2 linked regions of the Astyanax mexicanus genome follow. The protein of the gene in region 1 purifies or fractionates together with the protein of each later gene. This does not show direct contact. Links are inferred from orthologs where the notes say so. Each region holds a gene or a part of one and is shown on either strand. Other genes may lie near its edges.

Region 1 (12,349 bases):
TGCTTTTCCCCGAGCGCGCTAGCCGTTCAGGCAATGATTTAAAAAAAAGGGGTGACTGACTTCACATGTATCGGAGGAGGCGTGTGCTCGTCCACATCCTCCTAGGGTCGCCTGTTGACTGGTGATGGCGACGCACAAAGGGGTGGGAGAATCGGATATCCAAATTGGGAGAAAATGGGAAAAAAAAAAAAAAGAATTTGCTATTTTTACACCATTAACAAGCTCAAAATAATTCCACACTTCATTGGTAGAATTATGAGGCCCCTGAAGGAGGTACTAAAAGTAAGAGCTTTGAAAGTGAAAAGGAGGTTTATCAAAAAACACTGTTTATACACACAGTACCTTTAGGTAGTTCTCCAGGAACTGCCATCTTGAAATTAAGTTGAATAAACAAAACTACACTGGTGCAGCACGCCCTCTAATGTTATGGAAGGTAAAATAAAGCTAGTAATTTCATTTGTACATCTAAGGGCATTTTAACTTTCCTTGTTAAAATCTATTTTTAACAGCTATTTTTAAAGTACACAAAGAAATGTGATTAGGGGCAGCTATTTTCGTATCCCACACACACACACACACACACACTGAGCTCACTCACACTTCCACATTTCTATAGGTACACGTACATGACAACACTACAGCAGACATCCATGTTTCCCTGCTGTCTTTTTTCGAAAAAACTAAATACGGTCACCCATATTCACAGCTTATATGAAAAGCGAGATTTAGCGGTCATCGTACATCTACAGTTAGGACTGCACGTGGCACAGTGCACCACCGCACTGGGTATCGGGGTAAAAATGGATTTAGATTTCGCACAACAGAAGCCTGGTGTTTGTGTCGCTAGTGCTCTTTCTCCTGTGTAGATATATCACATATTTTACTAGCTGTATAACATTTGTGCATATTTTGCATGTTTTCTACGCATTTTATTTTTGTCTGAATTAAGCCATAAAGCCTTAAATCAGCATTTACCTGTCACTGCGTGCATTTACAATCAGTTATAGTACAAAATTATGTCCAGCTATAGTTCAAACTGAAACTCCAGTCGGAGTAGGACCCCATGCAGCCAGCTAGCTAACCCAAAGTGACCTGATAGATCTGTCCAAATATTACATTATGTTTTTTAAAACAAATAGCTTTTGGTAAATAAACAGAAATCTTCTGGTAATTTATTTTTCCAAAACTTATCCAGGTCTCGAAATTTCAGGTTTTTAATGTTTTTACAAAAAATTCCAAAGTGCATCGACTTGAACAAACAATCCATAAATACATTGAAAAAAATAAGATAATTGATTACATTGAATTGACTTGTTTCCATCAGTCTCACACAAATACATAACGTCACCAACGAAAATAAATAGAGAGAGGCCAGTCAAGATAACTTTTTTTGGATGATACATCATCCCAGAAATTAATTGCAATAATTGTTTTTTTAACAACAATAAACTTTTAATTAATCATAGTTTGGGAACTGCCAAAGTTTTGCTGCATATTTCAAGTTTTTTATTTCCCTTATTCTTATATAAATACAAGCAATCGAGGTCAAGATCATATGATAATTATCACCCAATATATATGCAGATAGTAATTAAGTAATTATTGTGCTGATGTAATTTACATTGAACTGATTATTTGTTCCATTGCAGAGGCTTAACATTTGTATGTATGTGTTCTTCATTCCCGAATACAGCTGAAACAAACTTATTTATGGGTTCTAACCAGATACAATGAGCTGCTAGTTTTCTAGCGCACAAAATGCGCACAAAATGAAATCAAGTCATTTTATACAGTTTTCTTCTATGTTAGGGCTGGGAGTTTGCTACGTCTGCTGTGCTGCCCGGTTAAGTTGAATAATTCTTTTAAGGGGTTAACTCACAGAATTTTAGGAAACCTTGGATAATTAATTTTTTTTATTAGATTATGCCCCAAAAAATTCCCTGTACACTATTGTTATCTGAATTCACAATGCTGAATGTTCAGCAATTAATAGTATTCATTTTACCTAATACTTCTCATATTGTCTATATATATATACATGTGAAATAAAGATACAATGAATCGTTTAATACGTTTGCAACTGTTGTGCAACTATGTTTTATCAGATGCCAACTGTCCCTAAATTGTCCACTCTGTTGTGTAGCTTGCTGTGACAGTGTGGACAAATGCATGCAAGTGAAAAAAATGTGATAGAGCGTGGAAGATATGATATCTGTATATTCAGAAGTAGGGCTGGGCAATATTGATTTTTTTTTCGATATTTCTCGAATATATATATATAAGCAATTCTTCATTCTACATTACGATTTTTAGTTAATTATAACCAGTTTTATGTTTTTCAGTTTTAATTATAAACAGACAGCACAATTTAAACTGATGAACAAGCTACATTTTCCTTTACAATTATTTTTTTTTCAGGAATAGTAAGAAGGCCCTTACATTCAGCTTTTATATTAAATGCAGTGTAAATATAACATTGTTGTGTTTCAGGAAGAAAAAAAGTGTAAAATATGAAAATTACTGCCACATACAGCTCTGGAAAAAAGTAAGAAATCACTTTAGTTTCTGAATTAGTTTCTCTGATTTTGCTATTTATTGGTAAATGTTTGAGTAAAATGAACATTGTTGTTTTATTCTATAAACTACAGTCAACATTTCGCCCAAATTACAAATAGAAATATTGACGTTTAGAGCATTTATTTGCAGAAAATGAGAAATGTTTGAAATAACAAAGAAGATGCAGAGCTTTAAGACCTCAAATAATGCAAAGAAAACAAGTTCATATTCATATGAACAAGTTTTAAGAGTACTGAAATCAATATTTGGTGGAATAACTCTGGTTTTCAATCAAAGTTTTCATGCATCTTGGCATGTTCTCCTCCATCAGTCTTACACACTGCTTTTGGATAACTTTATGCCACTCCTGGATTCACAATTCAAGCAGTTCAGCTTAGTTTGATGACTTGTGATCATCCATCTTCCTCTTGTTTCTATTCCAGAAGTTTTTAATTTGGTAAAATCAAAGAAACTCATCATTTTAAGTGGTCTCTTATTTTTTCCAGGGTTCTTTAGAGGTTTCTGACAGAAACACAAGCCTACCCACTCTGGCAGTTTCTATATGTAAAGATGTACATTCTCGATTATCCTATTAAAAATTATAATTTAATTAATACATTATAATATATAATAAAGCCCTAGTCTGAAGTCTTATACATATAATAACTGAACAAATAAAAACGTTAAAATTAAAGTTCTCTGAACGTTTTGAGGGACAAAAGCCTCTCAGAGTATTGTTATAATGACCCAACTCTGTGTTGAAACTTTCCACAAACAGCCTAGCTACATCTGCTGGGGATGAATGACACACACACACACACACACAGACAGAGAGAGAGAGAGAGAGAGAGAGAGAGAGAGAGAGAGAGAGAGAGAGAGAGAGAGAGAAGAGAGAGAGGCCTGCGTAAAAAAATATTAAACGCCTTTAACTCATCCAAAAAGCTCTACATATGAAGAAAAAGTGTGTTTTCCTCGTTTGTGGGGGTAATAAAAGTGTGTGAGAGACCTCAGGGTGAGCACGAGCACGAGCACAGTTACATACAGAGTTTACAGCCTCCTCACAACTTCCTGTAATTAGGGGCAGGTTGTGCCCCATCTAAATAATTAATGACAGCTCAAATTTACCACACAAACTAAAGTAAACGGTGTGAATGACAATGACCGACCTGTCTGAAGCTGTCCTGGTGGCCGGCTTCTCCTTTATCTCCTTGTTTTTCTGCCCTGTTTCTCTAAAGCGCAGGTGGCTGCCAGTTTCGAGTCTTGTCTGGGGAAGGTAGCGGAGAGACCAGGCCCCGCCCCCTTCCTGATTTCTGTGTAGTTTCTGGGTGTGAGAGCCTGTTGCTCATACATCCCTCACACTTCACTGCTTCTGCACAGATCATGCAGGGCAGCTTACCTTACTGTACCTTTTCTTATCTTTACTTAGGTCTGCTGTTTTTTGTTTTTTTGTGACAATATTTTTATTTGGAATTTGGGAGTAATGTTGTCCGCAGTTTATAGAATAAAACAACAATGATCATTTTACTCAAACATATACCTATAAATAGCAAAATTAGAGAAACTAATTCAGAAACTAAAGTGGTCACCTATTGTTTTCCAGAGCTCTATTTTATCCTATAGCTAACAAGCAGTTTGGTGGGTCAAAAACTGTTGTGTTTTAAGAGTTTAAGGTTAACGCTTTTTGCTTTTATATAGATCAATCAACACTGACTGACACTACAGTCCCAAACTAAACTTGTGCAGTAGCCGAGACTGTCCCCTCTTCACTATTTCTACATGTGAAAACTCATAACCTATACAATGCACTATTATACAAAACAGAATTACAACCCGAGATGAGTGTAGTAACAAAAGAGAACTACTTCATTTCTGTACTTTAGTATAGAAGTAAAATGCTGTATCTGTATCTACTGGAGTACTTTTTTTACACTTTCACTTTTACTTTACTACATATTTTAGATGAGTTTATTACCTTTAGCCTGATATTTTTTTATGTCCTGCATCGTTACTCGTTACAATTATAAAAATGTTATATATATGAATCATTCCAAACCCACATTCTCACTACCAGTCCAGTAGTGACCAGTATGCACTGTCACCAGATTTAATGAAAATGCTCATCAATGAGCAAATCAAGTGATCAAGCTAATTTTATAAGAAAAGTCACTGCTGCTGTTCTGTTTTTCACTCTGAGAACTTTCCACTGCTTTCTGAAATAACAACATAACAAAAGTAATTTACTTTTACTTTCAGTACTTGAGAAATGCATTTATAAACTAATAAACTACTTGCAATACTTAAGTAAAACAACATATTCAATACTTTAATGCTTCCACTCCAAGTATGGAACTTAAAGAACACTACAACTTCTACTCAAAGTCACTTTTTTGAAAGAGCACTTGAAGTTTTAGTCAAGTCTAAGTACTTTAGTACTTTATACTTCTCTGATTATAGCTGATGTTGCAAAACAGCTTTACAGAAATCGGGTAGCAGGACAGAGAATCAAAAGCAACATAAAACATAAAACCCCAGTGAGCAACAAAGGCAAGAAAAAAACTCCCACAGAGCTGGAACAAGAAACCTTGGGATAACCAAGGCTCACAAGGGGGGGCGCATCATCCTCTGATCAGGCCACTTATTAATTATTGATAAAAAAAATCACTATACAGCCACATAAGTCTTATATGTTCAGGTATACTTTTATAGTTGAAGTATTGGTGATTTAATTAATGAAAGTAGTATTGATCGTTTAATTATAGCACTAAGATTTTTTAGACAGAACTAAAGAATGTCATAACCCCAAAAAGGAGAGCACTGTACAGGGCACAGCTACATCTCCACATCGCTGGAACATGGGCTAGGTAGGTTCCAGGTGGGTACGGGTTTTATGTTGGTTTGTACACATGCTGTTACTGGGATCCAGTTAAGCGTCCAAAATAGACCCCATCATTACAACCCACCTTAATCACACATCGGTTCCATCTATGTGCCATATGCAATGTAAAACCCACACGGGGCCCGTCTTTACTGCCCCCTGGTCCAATCAGTGATGGTGGCCCAACACCCATGTAAAACCAGTGAACAAAATTTTCTGGTTGCAGTTGGGCTGCCTATACAGGTCCCAGGTTAGAATGTTATCTAGGAAATCTGCCATAGTGTTCCTGTAAATCATTTATACTGAATGACATGGGTTTCACTTTGTTTCCACGTTTCATCACATCAGCATAATAATAATAGTAATATTCCATGAGGTGGATGCTGGAACAAATAGCAAAGTAATTTGTGCCAAAAGGTTCGACATGATCTTAACAATAAGTTCCTGACAACAAACCAGCTCACCAGCTTTGTTTCCAGACATATGAGTGGAAAAATATTATTTTTATCCTGTCTATGTTTTTGTTAACAGTTGGGCACTTATGTTTGACCTCTGGAAGGTTTATCATAGTCTAACAGGACATATCTTTATATATATTTATATTTCAAAGTCATATTTCATTACTGAACAACTATAACTCAGACTAACATGATCTTACTGTTCTCATCAGGCTTGCTTTTATGTTGTAATGCCACCATGTGGGCTAATGATGAGCTACAAGCGTTTTGACTGGTCACAAATAATTATAATACTTGACAAAACAGAAGAGACACTGACAAAACCTGAGGCACAAACCCCAATCACAGACATTAGACATTATCTTAATTAAATAACTAGCCATTTTTAAGCTTAATTGTTGTTCTATTTATGAATCCCAAAGTCACCCTGTAATGTCCAAAGATAAAATATTGCAGAAAATCCTGAAATTTCCATTATTATTTTGGAAATAAAAACAGGAAATAAAACAATTTGTATTCTGAGATTTATCACAAGCTGTCTCAGGTTACGCCATTATTTTATATTAATTATTAATATTAACATAAATTTCAGAAAATTTCACTGCATTTTCACTTGCATTTCCGATTATCAGAATAGTTTCTAGGATGAGTGCATCTAAAATCACTTTAAACATACTAAAATCTACCACACCAGTTTATTTATATTCAGTGACTTAAAGTGTTGCAGTGTAGTGATGAGCCACAGGAAGTGCTGTGGGAGTGAAGTATTGCTATACACAACTTCCCCAAATGTGCACTCATAACTCAAAACTAGATGGTAACTATGGACATTTTATATTTAGCAAAGAAGATCTTGGCTTAAAATAAAAAATATACAACACAATGAAAAAAAATACGATGAGAAATTTCTGCGGCAATTCAGTTACAAAATCTTGCCGGTTGGCAGGTGTGATTACTTTGATCAGATAAAAAATTAGCAGGATGTGCGATGCAGTGCTGCTTCAATTCTCATTTCTAAGTAAACATGTAGTTGAATACTCATTTCTGAAACATATAGGCTACAGAATATAAAAACAAAAACTATGAGAGTGGACTGGAATGACTTCCTGCCACACTGATGAACATGTGAAGTCAACAACAATCTTTCAGTAAAAATGCTCTTAGATTAGCATAACTTCCTGTTAGTCCCACTTTTCACTAGGGCCAGTTATTGACCAGTGGTATTGCACTTGCCTGATTCATTATGATGATGATTGAAGCACTATCTTGTTCTATTTTATACTTTTTTTTTACAATATAAATTCGTTTTTTTATTTTTTCAGGTTAGTTATGATCTTTAGAAAGACCCATTTTTAATCTAATTAATTTGGGCAATTATTTAGGTTGATTTGCCTTGTGCATAAAACGGTTGACCTCCTTATTTTAACAATGTGAATGTGAATGCATATGGCGGTTTAATCTTGTCATTGTAGCGTTCGTGTATGGTTCCTGGCAAAGCTGAGAAAAGTACAGTAATATAACTTTGTCCACAGCTCTCATAATTCAGGTTTCCAGGCGGGGCTTGAGCAGCACTTGTAGCACATTTGACAGGTTGAGAAAATAGTTTGCGGTTGTGCTCAGGAAGCCTCACAGCATAGAAAGAAATAAGTCTGCATTTCCTGAACTTCCTTGAACCCCTGAAGGCCATCAGAAATAGCAGTTACTATAAGAGGAGATGTGCAGAATTCCTTACTCAGCAGTAAGTATGTTGAGTTCCCTGTTTGGCCAATGTCCTAACAAGATTTTCAGTCTTTGCACGCTTCAGTATTTTCTTAGATGATGTGTGCATGCTGGTTGTGTTTATCTGTTCACTGTATTGTGTTTACTGCAGCACTTCTACTGACCTTGCTAAAGAGTGGACCACACATTTAGAACAAAAAAGAGGTAAGACTTGTTACTTATCATTTGTGCTCTGTAAACTGCAATAGTACAGTTATATAATCATTAATAACTAGTTATGATCAATAGTACAACAGTACATGTACACGCTAAAACCCTAAACAGTTAAAGCTGCAATTTACCCATTGATATGGTGGACATACCGCATATAGCCCTTAATGTTTATCATTTATTTAGAAGCAATTCAGTATTTTAAAAATGTATTTCATAATTAATAGTCCAGTTCATAATTACTAATTACTTGACCTAGATATTAATTAATATCATATTTAGGTTAATGCACTGGGCCCTCCTAACAACATTGCTTTTTTAAAGTTAAACAAATTTAACTTTAACTAATATTTACATTAACAAATAATACAAATTGTACAATTTTATTCAACCATTTAAAATATTTATATGTGCACAATTACTGTATATTTAATTCACAAGTAAATACCAAAAAATCGTAATTGTGGAAAATACAAACACCACTCTAGGTGGAAAGTTTTGTAACTATGTACAACCCTCAATAAAGAAAAGGTATGCTTACAAAGAGGAAGGGAATTATATAAAAACTTCCAGCACGCAATATTTACTGACTGAAAGGTCATAAAGAAACTCCAGTTAAGGGGAACTGTCAAAGCAAGATCTGCATCACCAAGAAAACACTCTGAGAGAAGGGCTCAAACGAAGTGGTGATACACTATTCTACTGTGCAGTGTTGCTTAAACAAAAATGACCTATGTATACTGAATTCAATCAGTATGTACAGTAAATAAACAAGGTCATGGTACCCCAGCTCATGGCTTTGGTTGTGAGGTAATTTCTTGTGAATGAGGCTGAACACTGGTTAATAAGCTCATGCCACGTATGGTTAAAACTGTCCATACAAACAGACAAGCATCTCCGGCAGAAATCACATTCACATCAATTGCAGGAGACCTCACACAGAAATCCTGTAGGTCAGTGAAGCTTTCTTTAGCTTCTGTGGAACCTGGAAAAAGTCATGAGGCACAACAGTAGACTTTGGGCATGCCACTGAAGGAATTATCTGAAGGAAACTTGTGAGTGAGACGTTTTTAAAACGGACCCTTTTACTTACAGTCTCAAAAGAAGCAGAATTTGATTAAATGAACCCCTTTTCAACTGTCAAGCATGAATCTGGATCTCTTAAGGGTTGGGTGGTATGGCAGCCAGTGGTACACTATACACTGCACAGTTTATGGAAAAATGGATTCCACTAAATATCAGCAAACTCTACACACAAATATTTACACTGTCAAAAAACTAAAGCTAAAAGTGTATGAAATGGACATCATTAAAAAAAGGTGGTGAACAACTTTAATCTGTGCCACAGTTTTTTTTTTCAAATCTGAGTGTATAAAATAATGAAAAACAATATACATTTTATTCTAGTATTTAAATTATACAAATACAAAGAACAGCACATCAACATTTGTGGCAAAAATGTATTACAGTAGCTTGCTTGCAATAGTTTTTTTTTTTTCAAGCAAAATGTTTCATTTGAAGAAATGTACCCATACTACTTTTAAACATACCTTTATCTATTTTTTGCTAATTAACTATTAATATATACACATTACTGTACAAAAGCCACCTGAGAACTATGTTATTTAGTTTAAGTATTTAGTATAATGCTTCATAGGCAAAATAAAAAAAATGACTTAATTAATTGACCTGTATCCATAAGAAATCATTTCTGATTATGCACTTTAGTTAATGTGTTTATATACACTTGTGGTATATAGTTTTATAAGTAATTGTTATCTTTAATTATCATTATGTTCATATGCTGAACGTTTGTATGGCCAGTGAAAGGTTCTCATCAGGCATTTCACGCTGGGAAAAAAAAATAAAACTTAAAGACTTAAAAACTCTAAATTAATGAAGCTTGGATGTCTCAGGGTGCATTCCATCTGCGTAGTAATTACTATAAACTAATGTTAACTAGTCTTTGTGTATGAACTGTAGACAAAAGTGTAAACATTTACTCAAATATCCACAATGAATAGCCAAAGCCTCTATTTTTTTAATGTAGTTATGATGGGCACTACTATCCCACAATGCAATGAGAAGAGGAAAGGGGGGATCTACTTACTTCTGAAACAACATTAGGAAAAATGGCAGTGATGAGGAAAGTGCAGCAGCAATGGCGTCTGGAAATCTTGCAGTGATGTATGTTGGCGTAGCAAAGGCTCCATTAATTCCTTTTGGTACAAAAAGCTAAAGCATTAATATTTTGTATATTAACCTGCCAAACTTGCATTATTAATATTATTTTACTAGGGATGCAATTGGGATGCAGTCTCTTACTAAATATACTGGGGTAATAAAAACTGTAAATAAACTACTGTACTGTACAGAGTAAACCAACAGGTTTAATTGCGGACATTCAGCAAGCAGTGATGCCCTCCATGAGTCATCCTGTTAGTGTCAGCACCCTTGGCAGACGGCTGCACAATGCAGAACGACATGCATGCAGACCATTACGATGACTGCCCTTAACACCCATGTCAACATCTCAGAAGACTGCAATGATGTCATGCCAGATTGTCATGAAGTGACTCAAAATAGCACTGTATCATCAAAACAAAACAAACAAACAATCCGCGTGTGGGTAGGCACTGTGGTCAGTGCAAAGATGCACAATTTGTTGTTACAAGTCACATGTCCAGAGGGCCTGGGAACTGGTGTTATTGAGTGGGGTGCACATTCAAATGATTTCAGATCACCTTTGGTCTTTATTACAGACACTTTGATAGAACAATAAGTTTAGCAGTTAATAAGGTCCTGCAGCCTGTGGTCAACCTTTTTTGAATGCACACTCTGGTGCACTACTCCAACAGGGCAATGTTTATCCTCACAATGCAGACGTCTCAAAAGCTCGCCCTGACGACACAGATCCTTTGCCATGGCCAGACCTATTCCTGATTAAAAATGTGTGTGATGCTCTTGGGCGCATTATTAACTCTCCAATCTACTGCAAAATCTGCAAAAAAATGTGGACGAATATTTGAGCTGCATGGGATGGAAAATTGCCGTTTTTTTGTGATAGAGTATACAATCATTAACAAAAATATTGTTACACCCAGAAAAAATTGTCGCATTGCAATGTTATTAGGGAGAAAAGTACAGTTGCACTCATCATCAACGGTGATGATTAATTCTACATAGTTTGATGTTTGCAGACACTTGCTCCACCAGAGTTGCTTTTGGAGTCAACTGTGCTAAAATAAGGGTGCTAATGGATGATTAATTATGGTTTAAGACATATCCTTAAGACATTGGCTGAAGCTCCAGCACTCCACAGCTGTTTTACAGCATGTTTAGAATCTGATCACAACTCCACTTGTGGATACTTTTAAAATTCATAAAAAAGTTTAGACTGACTGACCTTCATTACTTTTATTCTTTACTTAGTTGAGTAGTTTTTGCCATAACATGGATTAAAACATTACACAAATAGAGCTATTTACTACCTCTTCACAACCTCTACAACTGATCCTCTTAAACACATTAAGAGAGCAATATATTCAAGTAATTAACTCTTGACAAGTTAACTGTTAACTGAAAGCCATTCCAGGCGACTCTTTCTCATGAAACTGGCTAAGAAAATGAAGAATCCAAAATATAAAATTTATTCTGGTTTGTTTAACCCTTTTTTATTTTTGGTCTATATACTGTATATATATATATACACACACATATATATATATATGTGTGTGTATATATATATATATATATATACACACATATATATATATGTGTGTATATATATATATATATATATATATATATATATACGTATATATATATATATATCTATATATATATATATATACGTATATATATATATATACATATATATATATACGTATATATATACGTATATATATATATATATATATATATATATCAGCAAAATGAGTGTTTTTACCTGAAAAATGCAACACATATGATTTGAACAGATGCAAATATACATAGATACAGTAAAACGTAACAAGGAATCTATTAAACTCAGATGAGAAGAGATAAAAATATGTTTTAAGAAAAACAATGCTGTAAAAGCACTGCTTTTTGTAAAATTGCTGCTTGTATTTATTGTAATATATATCTATATAGGTCAGTTGGAACGGTTGCTTTTATACTAACTGGTTGAAGGCAATGACATTCATTTAGTCACTCACCAGAGCGAGTTGAGGATGGAAACTCTCAAAACCACAAAGGCCACTTGAGTTTCTGACACTCACTTTATATCTGATTCACACCACAGCCCAATAACACTCAATAACTTATACGTTATTCACCTTGTTCTAAATCCAGTGTTGGAACTTCTACTAAGAAGAATCTAATAATCTAATATTCAAAAATATGTTAGACTGTATACTGATCACTAAAAGTGGAGGGTATAAGAAATTAAACATTAAATAATTCATGCTGGACACTAATAACTAAAATGCATATGACAAGCTTTCAAAACCTTATTGGTGGTTTGTTTACGGTATACAATAAGGCCTGT
Region 2 (12,627 bases), on another chromosome or scaffold:
TATTTCACAGTGGGCATGAGGTGCTTTTCTGCATACTCAGCTCTTGTGTTACGCCAGACCCACTTAGAGCATTTGTTGCCAAAAAGCTCTATCTTTGTTTCATCTGACCAAAGCACACGGTCCCAGTTGAAGTCCCAGTACCGCTTAGCAAACTCCAAACGTTTGCGTTTATGATTGTGAGTGAGAAATGGTTTCTTCCGTGCATGCCTCCCAAACAGCTTGTTGGCATGTAGATAGCGCCTGATGGTTGTTTTGGAGACTTTGTGACCCCAAGAAGCTACCATTTGTTGCAATTCTGTAACAGTGAGCTTTGGAGAACTTTTTATTTCTCTTATCATCCTCCTCACTGTGCGTGGTGGCAAAATAAACTTGCGTCCTCGTCCAGGCTTGTTTACCACTGTTCCAGTTGTTTTAAACTTCTTAATAATTCCTCTGACAGTAGATATGGACAGGTGTAGGCGAGTAGCGATTTTCTTGTAGCCATTGCCTGACTTGTGAAGGTCAACACACATCTGCCTCACTTGAATGGTATGTTCCTTTGTCTTTCCCATGTTGAAGATAAATGGCCTCTGTGTCACGTCATATTTATACCCCAGGGAAACAGGAAGTTGTGAATTACTAATTAAATGTTCCTACATACTCTGATCAACGTAAACTACTGTAGAAGTGACAGAAATACTTTTATTACATTTATTTCCTAAGAATTGTTAGGGGTGCCAATAATTGTGGAACAGGTGATTTTATGAAGAATAATTATTTCTTAGTCAGGGATTTTATTTCCCCCTTAAAATTTACTTGAGTTAAAGGTTGGACTTTACTTTTTTTTCCCATCGTGGTCCTATATTATTTTGAACAAAACTCAATTTATGAGAAGCTAAAGAACACATCTTAACCAGGGGTGCCAATAATTATGGAGGGCACTGTATATATATCTAAATATGGTTGATGATAACTCTATATTAAGTGAGCATGGTATGGCCATGAATTTTGATTAGGTGTGTAACAGTGTGTGTACTGGAGTGTGTGTGTGTGTGTTGCAGAAACTGTAGTGGAATTACAGGAATCATTAGGGTTTTTTATCTCTTACTGTTAATCCCTACTTTCATTACACAATGCTATCATGTGGTTATTGATGTTATGACTCATATTGTTCGGCCAAATAGTGAAATGACAAAATAATTTTAAAATGACTTAATTTGCGTTGCTTGTCTGTTTATTTAAATATCGCAGTGTTTCCTCTAATTTTAGGATTTTTTATTTTAGCCCCCCTTTTCAACCCTGGTCCTTAGCAGCGCTGCATATCAGAGCGCTGCTATTTATAAGTATGCAGTAAGCCATGGACAAGGATTAATGAACTTAATGCGGAATCATATTTCCCAAGTGGAAGTTCCTACCATTTGTTTTTTGGGTGTTGTCTAAAGCAAAATAATAATAAACAGCAAATATACACATAAAAAAAACACATTTACAGAAAAAAACATGTAATACTGCCCCAGTTTGAGAACCACTGGTTTAGATTAATGCTCAAAGTTTACAATGTTCAGAATATAAAATCAAGTCTTATGATTTATAATTACAATAACCAACTTTATTACTGAGCCTACCTTTTTTGGGATGGGGCTGCCTCTCTGACTGGACTCATCCTCAATCTGCCGTGAGCGCTGCGGAACAGACAGAAACTTAACCCAGGACAGTCACTAACATTGGAGGCTGAACTCCACAGATTTCATGGAATGACTTTAATCAGAATATTGTCATGGTAATGCAAAAACCTCTCATCTCTCAGGAGCAGCACAAAACTTCTTAGCTTAACTTAACTTCTTAAATAAAGTCAATGTTAAAAAAATTTACAAAATTTTATTCCAAGTACCGTATTTTACAGACTTTAAGGTACACCGGATTATAGGGTGCACTATCAATAAACGTCTATTTTCTGCTCTATTATCATACATAAATCACACCGGATTATTAGGGGTATTAAGCGACACTAGTAAGAATGCCTACACTGAAGTGAGCAAAGCTATCACCATGTTTCCCTTCTAATTCAGAAGGTCTTGCTGTTGGAGGCGCCTAAGTAACAAAACTGTAAATAAAATAAAATAAAAAACTTTTACAAAAGCAAACAAGCACTGGATGTTAATCTACACAGATTTCTCTCTTAAAACTGTTTATTTGTGTGAGTAAAGCACTTCTGCTTATTTATAGTAAGCTTACATTGCTAAAATTTTGTCCAAAGGTGAGCACTAGCCCCGGTTAGCAGCGCTAGTCAGCCACAGTTAGCGCTAATAAATGCTGTCTGATAGCACTAGACTAAGGAAGCCTGAGTGTTCCGGTAACCCAGGTTACTATCAGCTAGTGGTTCGTCCCACGTAGCTTGTTTTAACAAGGCAAACACACGCAGACTACAGTCCGATATACTCGCTTCTGAACGATGAGAGAACTAGAGCTGCGATTAGCAGCTAATGCTAATGCTGCTGCACCTAGCCTTAGTGCTGGAGAAACTTAACTGAAAACTCACACTTATAACGCTGTACATCAGCAGAGTGGATTTACTGCTCCGTAATTATAAGATGCACTGTCGATTTTTGGGAAAATTAAAGGATTTTAAGTGCGCCTTAAAGTCCAAAAAATACCCTAATTTTGGGGCATCTCTGTTAACTCATTCTTCCTCAAATTTTACACACTGTTAAAGAACAACTGTCAGATTTAAATGAAGATACAGGGGGTTTCATGGCAGTAATGATATGATGAAACTTTGAGACAAACCGATAACAATAACAGATTCAATTCAGATTTAGCATTACTGGTTGATCCTTACCTTCACTGCTGGATCGAAAACTGGTCTTTGGACAGTTTTCTCTGTTTCAGGAAAGAGCTGTTTTGCCTAGATAAGTAAAATTACACAAATTTAGCCACAAGTCACCTTTTAACTTTTAATAACAACAAGTTATTACTAGTTTTATCCCATTTTCTCCCCAATTCGGAAGGACAATAAGCTCGCTTGTAACCTTGTAACTCCCCAAACACTAGGATGGTAAAGACAAGCACAAGACTAGTCTTCTCTGATACATGTGAATCCAGACTCCGCCTCCTTTCCAGATGTCGCTGCTGCAGCATCACTAACAGCTAACAGACACCTTGCTGACCAGCATTGCACTAGGAGTGATGCCATCTACTGTACCCACCCATATAGAGCATGGCCTATTGTGCTCTCTTGGACTCCGGCTGCTGATGCTCCTTTTTTTTTTTACTTTTAATTACACAGTTACTAGAGCAAAGTTTTTATTCTTACATTTTCCAAGCAGTTCCGACAGGCCTCTTTGATAAGCTGATCCGTCTGCACATCCTCCCCCACATTCTCCTTCACGTTGCTCGCTGCCTTTTCAAAAAACTGCAAAAATGAAAAACATACAACAGTTTGATTCAGATCCTTAATTAGTATTAATGAAATAATGAGTGATGGGTGTTACAGTTTCAATATTGTCTCTTTTAACTGCACTATGTTTAAATAACCCCTCTTGAATTGATGGACATATAAAAATAAAACCATATAGCACAAAAGAGTCAAATAGTCTTAGAAAGAGTCATACTGCAAAAATCAACATTATCAAATTAATTTTTAGGACTAATTGTTACCTTCATATATTTTCTGAAGACGGCCAAAATGTCCTCGTTGAAGCTGGGCTGCAGAACTCTCCGCAAGAGATCCATGGAGATGACAGGATCAGTGTAACTAAGAGAAATAAAAAGACGAGTTACTGACATTTCTATTCCACAGACACACAGAACAGACACAATACTCTTCTATTATTTAAAGCTAAACTATTACAGCACTCAAAAATAAAAACAAGCACCTACCTCACAGTCATCTGTGAGCGTCTACCCCTGCGGTGAACCTGCCTGTGCTTGATCATGATGTTCCACGGGTTCTAGCACACACATAAAATAGAACCAGTAAATAAATCCATCCCAGAAAAGCTCCCAGCAGGCAGTCAGACAGATACACAGACAGATAGACACAGATAGTCAGATAGACAGATAAATAGACAGGTAGCTAAGTCAGATAGGCAGTCAGACTGATAGGCAGACAGACAGATACACAGACAGATAGATAGAAAACAGACAAACAAACACACAGAGATAGATAGATAGACAGACAGACAGACAGACAGACAGATACACAGGCAGATGGACAGATAGATAGTCAGATAAGCAGTCAGACAGATAAACAGACAGGTACACAGAGATAGATAGAAAACAGACAAGCAAACACACATAGATAGATAGATAGATAGATAGATAGATAGATAGATAGATAGATAGAAAAGTGGAGAGACAGGCAGACAGACAGGGGTCGGTTCCTCTGCTCCAGCTGATTCGACCCTTGAACTGCAGAAATGACTCATCAGTTCAGTGAAGCGACTCTGACTCACCACAGACTGAACCTGCTGCTCAGCGACGTCCTGCTGCAGCCAGTCTCTGCGGCCCTCGCTCCTGTGCGCTCCCATCACTGATCACCACTAATCACCAGTGTAAAACACAGATCACCAGCAGAACAGTCCTCTCAGATCCGAGGAACCGATTCACCGAGTTCACAGCGGCTCCCGGGACTCGGACAGACGGACCGCGGGGCTGACTCAACTCTATTCTTTATAAACACAGCGGATTTCGACGATCCAGCGCGGTGTAATAACTAACACTCTTCACTGCATTATTCTCCCAGTTATTATATATTAAACTGCGTATAAAATCCGGCACCGAACGCAGGAAAAACAGAGAATAAACCCGCAGAACGAGCAGCGTCTCTCTCTCTTCCTCATCCGAGCTTCAAAACAGCGAGGCTGCGCTGAAACCAGAGAGCGTCCGTAACCGAGATCACCCACTGCAGAAAGCGCTACGGGTCTGGCTGTATCTCTAGAAAAATTAAAACATGCAGGTAATTTTGTTTTTTTGCAAAATACTTTTTGGTCATGCTTGTAGACCAGCTTGACCATCAAAAAATATGCATTTTGTATATTTTAATTAAATTTGCCTGGTATTTATATAAACGTTATTTTAATTTGTGTGGTGAACATTAAAAGAAGTTTCAGATAAAAAGAACAGGTTTATAAATATTCATATATATATATATATATATATATATATATATATCATTTATATAAATTAGACAAATAAATTCAAATCTATTTGATCAAAAACTCAGAAACATTAACTAATTAGATTTGATCTAAATAATAATAGATTTATCTATTAAATTTATCATTAACTTTATCTAAACAATTAAATAGTTTTTTTTTTATCTGAAAATCGTTAGAACTGAATTTTTAATGTTCAATCTAACGTTTAGGAGTTTAATTCGATTTTCAGATTTGTCCATTTTTCAAGTAATTCAAGGAGGCTTTATTGTCATTCACATCACATGTGGTACAAGAGGTGGAATTAAATTTTGATCTTGTAACACAAATTTGATGGAATTTTCCAACATGCGAAATGCAAAAATTGAAAAAATCAGGATTTTTTTTTTTTTTTAATTTTCCTGAAATTCATATTGTAAGGGGCAGAGACGAAAAAACTAAAATTAGAAAAATGGATTAAAACTTATTTCTTGTACACTGCACTACTTTTTGGATTTAGCCTCAAACCGTCAGAACAATAAATTAATAAACATTACATTGACATTCAATCCTGGTCATTTTAAATTTCCCCTACTAATTACTAAATACTAAAACATAAAACTATGAAATATTCTATTAAATATTTCAAATCAAATTTACAAAATGCTGATTCAAACACTCAATAGCAAAGAGCTTAACCAGCTTAAAATTTTTCAACAGGGTACTTTTATTTTACCTTCGAAAATAAATAGAATATCCCAGACAATCAATGAATACTGAATTGTAGCCATTTATCTCCATTTACCTATTTATTGAGGTCTCACTCGCGGGCTCTCTCTAGTGGTTACAGTCATTTCCTGATTTAAAGCTGTAAAGTATGGAGTGTGCAGGCTCTGCTGTAAACCAGCTGAGGTCAAATTACTTCAGAACACACATCCGGTTGACCGGCGTCAAAATAAAAGCCGTGGCAGCGCCGCGCATGCGCACAGCCCATCGTGGGCGTGGCTGCGAGACGAGGCTGTTTGTATCGGTTGAGCCGCCATTACTGTTGTGGCACTTTTGAAGCTTCTGGTAGAAAACAGTTACAGAGTGGAGTTTTTTTTAGGGTTTAGCAAAAGATTTGACTTAAAAATGCTGAAACAAAACTAAATAAATGTAATTCAGTAATAAATGTACTATAATTCATATTTTTTTAAAGGTTTTAACAGTGTTAAAGAGCTTTGCAACGACTAATTAGCAGTTTTATAAGATAACTAGATAGTCAGATCAACAGATAGACAGACAGATAGTCAGACAGATACAGAGAGAGATAGATAAGCAGACAGACAGGTAGATATACACAGATTGCCAGATAATCAGACAGAAAAGACTGATATACAGACATACAGACACAGACAGGTAGATAGATATACACAGATAGTCAGATAGATAATCAGATTGATGTACACAGACAGATGTCATTAAGGTTAAAGTTACTGTTTTAGAGAAAACAGATTTTTTACATGGGTCCTTTTTTCTGCGGATTTTATTTTAGCGACATATCAATCACCCCTACCTTGAAGGGTTCTTAACTTTATAGACAATAGTTATAGAATCATATACAATTACTAATCAATCAAGCACCCAAAGAGTAACATTAAACCTTTCGACTCTTTAAAAACATTATATTTTCCTGAGACTCAGACCAAAAAATAAATTTGAGCTTTTTATAGTAAACAAATAACATAGTTTCATATGTAAAACTGGATTAGAATTTTTTACCTGGTCCATGTTTCTTTCTGGACTGGCTGTAGAAACTTTAGACTGGGATTCCCACCATCTTGTTCTCAGTCAACTTAGTGTAAGGTTGTCATGTGACCACTAGATGGAAAATGCAGTGTCTTCATATAAGGCTAAAAAGGATACTTAAAAAAAAAAAAATTAAGTATCATGGTGCAAAAAAGCAGAAATGTAATGTCCCCATATGAGGACACAGGGATGTAAGATTATTTCTGCTAAGAGTGTGCCATTAAAAAAGATAAATAAATAAATGAATAAATAATGGAAGTACACAGAGGATACATGGTGTCAATAGAGTTTACTGAGAGCCAAACTGACCCAGATGTTTATCTTCATATTGATTCAGAAGATGAGAAATGCCACAACATTGATAATATACAGGAAGAGGAAACTAACGATTTAAGCACAAATATTATTTACATTCAATCCATCTCTGTCCATCAAAATTAGGAGGGGGGGGGGGGGGGGGGGGCAATGACATTCATGGTGCTTTAAATCCAATAAAACAAACAAATGCAAGAACAGTGTGACAGGGTAAAATCAATCAATCGAGATACAGACGGGAATATATGCAAAACCATCAATAAAGACCCATATGACAAAGCAGACAAGCTAACGCTAAAATGAAGCTACTTGTAATTATTTGTGATTGTGAAGAATCTGATCATGCAGAAAACAAAGAAATCATCCCAACAAAACAAACAAAAAGGAGACTTCTATAAAAATAACGAGTCATTTGCTGGTTACACTATTCATTACTGCTCATACACAACTCTACTTTTACATACAAGATAAATTTCTCCTCTTTAGTTATCACTTTGGTTTAGTTTTAAAACGACATATTTTTATAAATCGTAGAATTCATAAACAGATTTGTTTAAAAAAAATGTTAAATTAAAACAAATAAAAAGCATGGAGAAGACATGTACAATACTCTTTTCCCCCGTAAAAGCTCACAAAAAGACCAAAACAAACAAATAATAATTATAATAATAATAAAATAAAATAAAAACATACTTCATAATGCTTTTCTATACAATATCTACAGTTTTGCTGGTGACGGAAAAACACCCAGGAATGAGAAAATCCATCTGGTGTTCGATGCTGTAAAATGAGCAATTCAGAGGATGATGAGAGTTTAAACAATGTGGATGTTATGGTTATGAATCTATATATATATATATCTTTTTGTTTGTTTTAATGTCAGACAGGAGGTACACATAAACCGTTTCCTCAAGAATTTTGATGATGTTACAATTCATTACTTACAAAAAACTAATATTATTATAATAATAATAAAAAAAATAAAAATAATAAAAAAGAGAAACACAAATAAAGGAAACAAACAAAAAAAATAAGACAGGTATATATAAAGGGATGTGACAATATACACAACAGATATAGAAGATAAAATAAAATAAAATAAAAGAAGATACTACATATAAGCATACAGGATCCCTCAAAACAAAAAACAAAACAATCATACACATTAGTGTGCTACTAACTGCAACAAACAGAGCCAAATATAATCAACAAATTTAATAAATTTAACAATTTCAACAATTTTAACAAGAAGTCTCTCCTCGTCTACCTCCTCTTTCTTTTCTTTTATTTTCTTTCTTTCTCTCTCTCCATGTTTCTTCCCCCCCGCTATTTAATTTACATTCAATATGCTGCCCAGTGATCAGGATTAATCTCGTTCTGGAGTAAACAAACAAATATTGGACATATATTTTTTTAACATATCTGTAACATCGGCAGATGAAACAGGTACTCTGCACTGTACTGAAGTACTCAATCATCTGAGGACTAAATAATGAAGAAGAAGAAGAAGAAGAAGAAAGAGTGCTGGAACTGACTTAAAAACATGGATGAATGACAATCTACTGTAAAGGAGAAATCCGGTGTGAAATGGAGTTGGGTTGTAGTGAAACATAAAAACAAAGAAAACATTTTAGTTAAAAGAGCCTGCCTCTATTAATCCCCAGCATTCTGAAATACAGCTTACAATGCTAGTGAATGGGGGCATAGATTTGCCCACAATTTTTTACACCATTAACAAGCTCAAAATAGCTCCTCACTTCATAGGTAAAATTCTGAAGACCCTCACATCTAAAATGAGGCACTGAGAGCTGTGAAATCCTAAAATGAAGTCAGGATATGGCGACCGACAAGTCACTGAATACTAAGAGAAGGTACTGCTTGTATAAACAGTGTTTTTAATAACCTATCTGTGTACTTTTCCTCAATCCTCAGTCTCTCATTGCCTCGTTTTAACCTCTTCAGACCTGAATTACATTCCAGTGATTAAAAATATTTATTATTTTTATATATTGTATTTTTATAAGTTATAAAAATATTATAAGTTATTTGCAGTTAAATAATTTGTTAAACATTGTTTTTTTATTTTATATAACTTTTATATAACTTTTTAGTTTCCCAAATCATCCCTAAACAGTCAAAATAACTCATAACATGATTTTTTTTTTCTTCTTTTGTTCAAAGCAGTGGGCGGGGCTAAGGTGAAGCTAAGGTTTTTGGTTGGCTGATAAATGTCAATTCTGTTGGACAACAAACCTCAATCTGTATAAAGCCCAAATTTTATTTCTGCATAGAACCTACACTGTAGCCTACGCATATCCAGCGAGAGTGCACTATACAGCAGAACATGTTTATACTTCTGTGTGCGCGTATCAGTCGCTCTGCAGTTTAAACCGCGAAGCCGGGAATGTGTAGACAGGGACATGAGGCCTGGTGGACCAATCACAGCTGTCCACGTTGCATATTTACATTTCCAGAGAGGTGCCCGTCGAGCTACGGCGTAGCGTACACAGCGCTGCATAGGCTGCGGTGTAGGTTCTATGCAGAAGTATGATGGAAAGAAGTATAATATTTTAAATGTAGGAATACCAAAAAATATGAAGAGAGATGTTGTCCATTGCAATGGACACAGGGTCTAAAAAGGGTTAAATGTCAGGATTTTCAGTAAAGAAATCTAACCGTGAAGTGTGGAACTACTTTAAGTTTTTTAATGGTGTAAAAATAGTGATTTCTTTGCATGGTTAACGCTATGCCCCCTTCACTAGCATTGTAAGTCTGTTGGGAGCATCGGCTTTTAGCACTGTATTTCTTAATGCTTACGGAGAATGGAGGTGGGCTATTAGATAAAAGATCATACTCATCATCATGTTTCACTATATACAACTCCAGTGCATTTCACACCGGATTTCTCCTTTAACTCTAGCTCTAATTGTAACGTTTAACTATTGCTTGCTCTTGTAAGCTTCACAGATGAGAGGTAGACTCAAAGAGAAGCGGGGTGGCCTAACATGACTGAAAGCTGTTTATAATATTTAGTAACAAACAGCTCTGAAATGGCTCTAAACAAACATCCACACATTATGCGGACATGAAACCTGTTTCTTTTCTTTTCTTTTGTCTAAATGGAGCTCCGATGATTCTGCTGTTTGTCACAGAAAGACAAAAAGATACCAAAAGATACCAAAAGCTCTCGCAAGCACATATTTTACAGCTCAAAAGATAGAGAGAACAGAGGAAATAGTGATCTGTTTTTCTACTAAACTAAGTTTAGTACTAACTATGCCAGTTGCATTTGTTACGTTCTATCCTCTGTGCATTTGTTATTAACAAAGGTAAACTGAAGCGTGGAACTGATTTACAAACATACGTGCATACAGCCGTGTCTGTCTAAAAACTGACCTTTTCTTTTCTTTTCTGTTCTTTTTTAGGGCGATAAGGAACCACACAGACCAAGCCTGGACTCCTAGACACCAAGGATTGATTTTCTTTCGGCATCTTATTCCAGAAAAGGGAGCACTGGGGCTTGCACAGGCATTCAGAGGAGCTTCTACATCTTCTAAAGATGAGCGTTGAACGTAAAAAGGAACTGGCTCTAGCACAGGTAGTAATAATTAATAACTACGCACAAGGACTACAACTACTCTGTAATGTGCATCATATCTTAAAGGCTTATAAACATAGCTGCCTACTTGCTGGTCCACCTCCGTTCTGTTGCCATAATAATAATAATAATAATAAAAATAAAAAAATAACATCCAAAAAAATCCTAGAGAGCAGTGCCCTCCATCCTCTACCCCGACAGTCCCACGACTCTGTCAGGGAGCAAAGCACGAAGTTAAAAAGGCAGAAGAAAAGAAGGACTTGACCAGAATCACCACGTCTTATACAGATGACAACGGTAACAACAACAACGAAATGTAAGAATTAGTGACCGAACAATCACTACATCATTAAAAAAAACAAAAACGAACGAAACAAAAACTAAACCCCTCAATAACTAGGACAACATTAATAATAAAAACCCAGAATAACTCTTTAAATAGTTGAGGCAGAGAAAAGTAAATAGGTGCGAGTCACTCGCTCCAGCTCTCTCGTTCTCCTGCTCTCTCTCTCTCTCTCACTCGTTCTCTCTCATGAAGCAACTTAACATGCAGAGAGTCAGTCAGTCTCACTCAACCCAACAGCACTCTTTCAAAGCCACTCTCACACACACACACACACACACACACACACACACACAATCACACAGACAGGCATCCACAGACACACACACACTTAAACGTTTGCCGTTTCTGGTGCAGTCTTGTCAACAGGACTGCTGTTGTCTCGGCTTCCTGGGGCGTCCATGCTCGCCGAACGCTCCTGGCCTGGTTTGGAGTCTTTGTCTACGGCACTGGAGGAGGAAGGCCCAGGAGAGGACAGCGAGCGTCCAGGGACCTTATAGGCTGCCAGAAGCTCTTGAATCCTCTCTGTGGTGGGCTCCCACTTGGCAAATCCAGCGTTGTTCTGCAGGAAGATGACCGCTGTTCCATGAACCGCCTTGTAGTACATTTCCTCTCTGGTAGAAAACAACAAAATGGGAATGAGATAGGAACTCATGACTAATGTGATAGTAAAAGATGCTGTTGAGACACACAAAAACATCTCTCTGCATCAGTTTCTCTGATTTATAGGTTTATGTTTGAGTAAAATGAACATTGTTGTTTTATTCTATAAACAACAGACAACATTTCTCCCAAATTCCAAATAAAAATATTGTCATTTAGAGCATTTATTTGCAGAAAATCGGAAATGGCTGAAATAACAAAAAAAGATGCAGAGATTTCACATCTCAAATAACTCAATTATATATAAATTATATATAAATAAGAAATTCATGATTCATGATTTTAAGGAAAAGAGGTTAGAAGTAGTTAGTTAGTTAGAGGTGTTAGGAGAGTAAGTGCCCTTTGAAGAGCTCTGTCTTCAGGAGTTTATTAAAGATAGTGAGAGATTCTCCTGATCTGGTAATAGAAGGTAGTTAGTTAGAGGTGTTTGGAGAGTAAGTGCTCTTTGAAGAGCTCTGTCTTCAGGAGTTTATTAAAGATAGTGAGAGATTCTCCTGATCTGGTAGTAGAAGGTAGTTAGTTAGAGGTGTTTGGAGAGTAGGTGCCCTTTGAAGAGCTCTGTCTTCAGGAGTTTATTAAAGATAGAGAGAGATTCTCCTGATCTGGTAGTAGAAGGTAGTTAGTTAGAGGTCTTAAGAGAGTAGGTGCCCTTTGAAGAGCTCTGTCTTCAGGAGTTTATTAAAGATAGCAAGAGATTCTCCTGATCTGGTAGTAGAAGGTAGTTTGTTCCACCATTGGGGAACTCTGTATAAGAACAGTCTGGATTGCTTTGTGTGAATGTCTGGTAAAGCTAGGTGACATTCACT

The links.
Region 2: the proteins of transcriptional-regulating factor 1 (region 1) and deoxynucleotidyltransferase terminal-interacting protein 1 purify together in Homo sapiens (affinity purification with mass spectrometry; 3 studies listed by BioGRID and IntAct, with this or other methods). This does not show direct contact. The link is inferred for Astyanax mexicanus from reciprocal best matches to the Homo sapiens genes TRERF1 and DNTTIP1.

The regions. Positions count from the first base shown.
Region 1 is NC_064421.1:17,468,895-17,481,243, forward strand, and holds the start of transcriptional-regulating factor 1, read left to right. Parts: upstream 1-7,472; 5' UTR 7,473-7,627; intron 7,628-7,759; 5' UTR 7,760-7,812; intron 7,813-12,349.
Region 2 is NC_064412.1:6,323,041-6,335,667, forward strand, and holds the start of deoxynucleotidyltransferase terminal-interacting protein 1, read right to left. Parts: upstream 4,858-12,627; 5' UTR 4,509-4,857; coding exon 4,434-4,508; intron 3,930-4,433; coding exon 3,859-3,929; intron 3,734-3,858; coding exon 3,637-3,733; intron 3,392-3,636; coding exon 3,293-3,391; intron 2,885-3,292; coding exon 2,819-2,884; intron 1,662-2,818; coding exon 1,605-1,661; intron 1-1,604. Other genes in the region: pcif1 (mRNA (2'-O-methyladenosine-N(6)-)-methyltransferase), read right to left, coding at 11,490-11,772. UniProt on the Homo sapiens protein: Increases DNTT terminal deoxynucleotidyltransferase activity (in vitro). Also acts as a transcriptional regulator, binding to the consensus sequence 5'-GNTGCATG-3' following an AT-tract.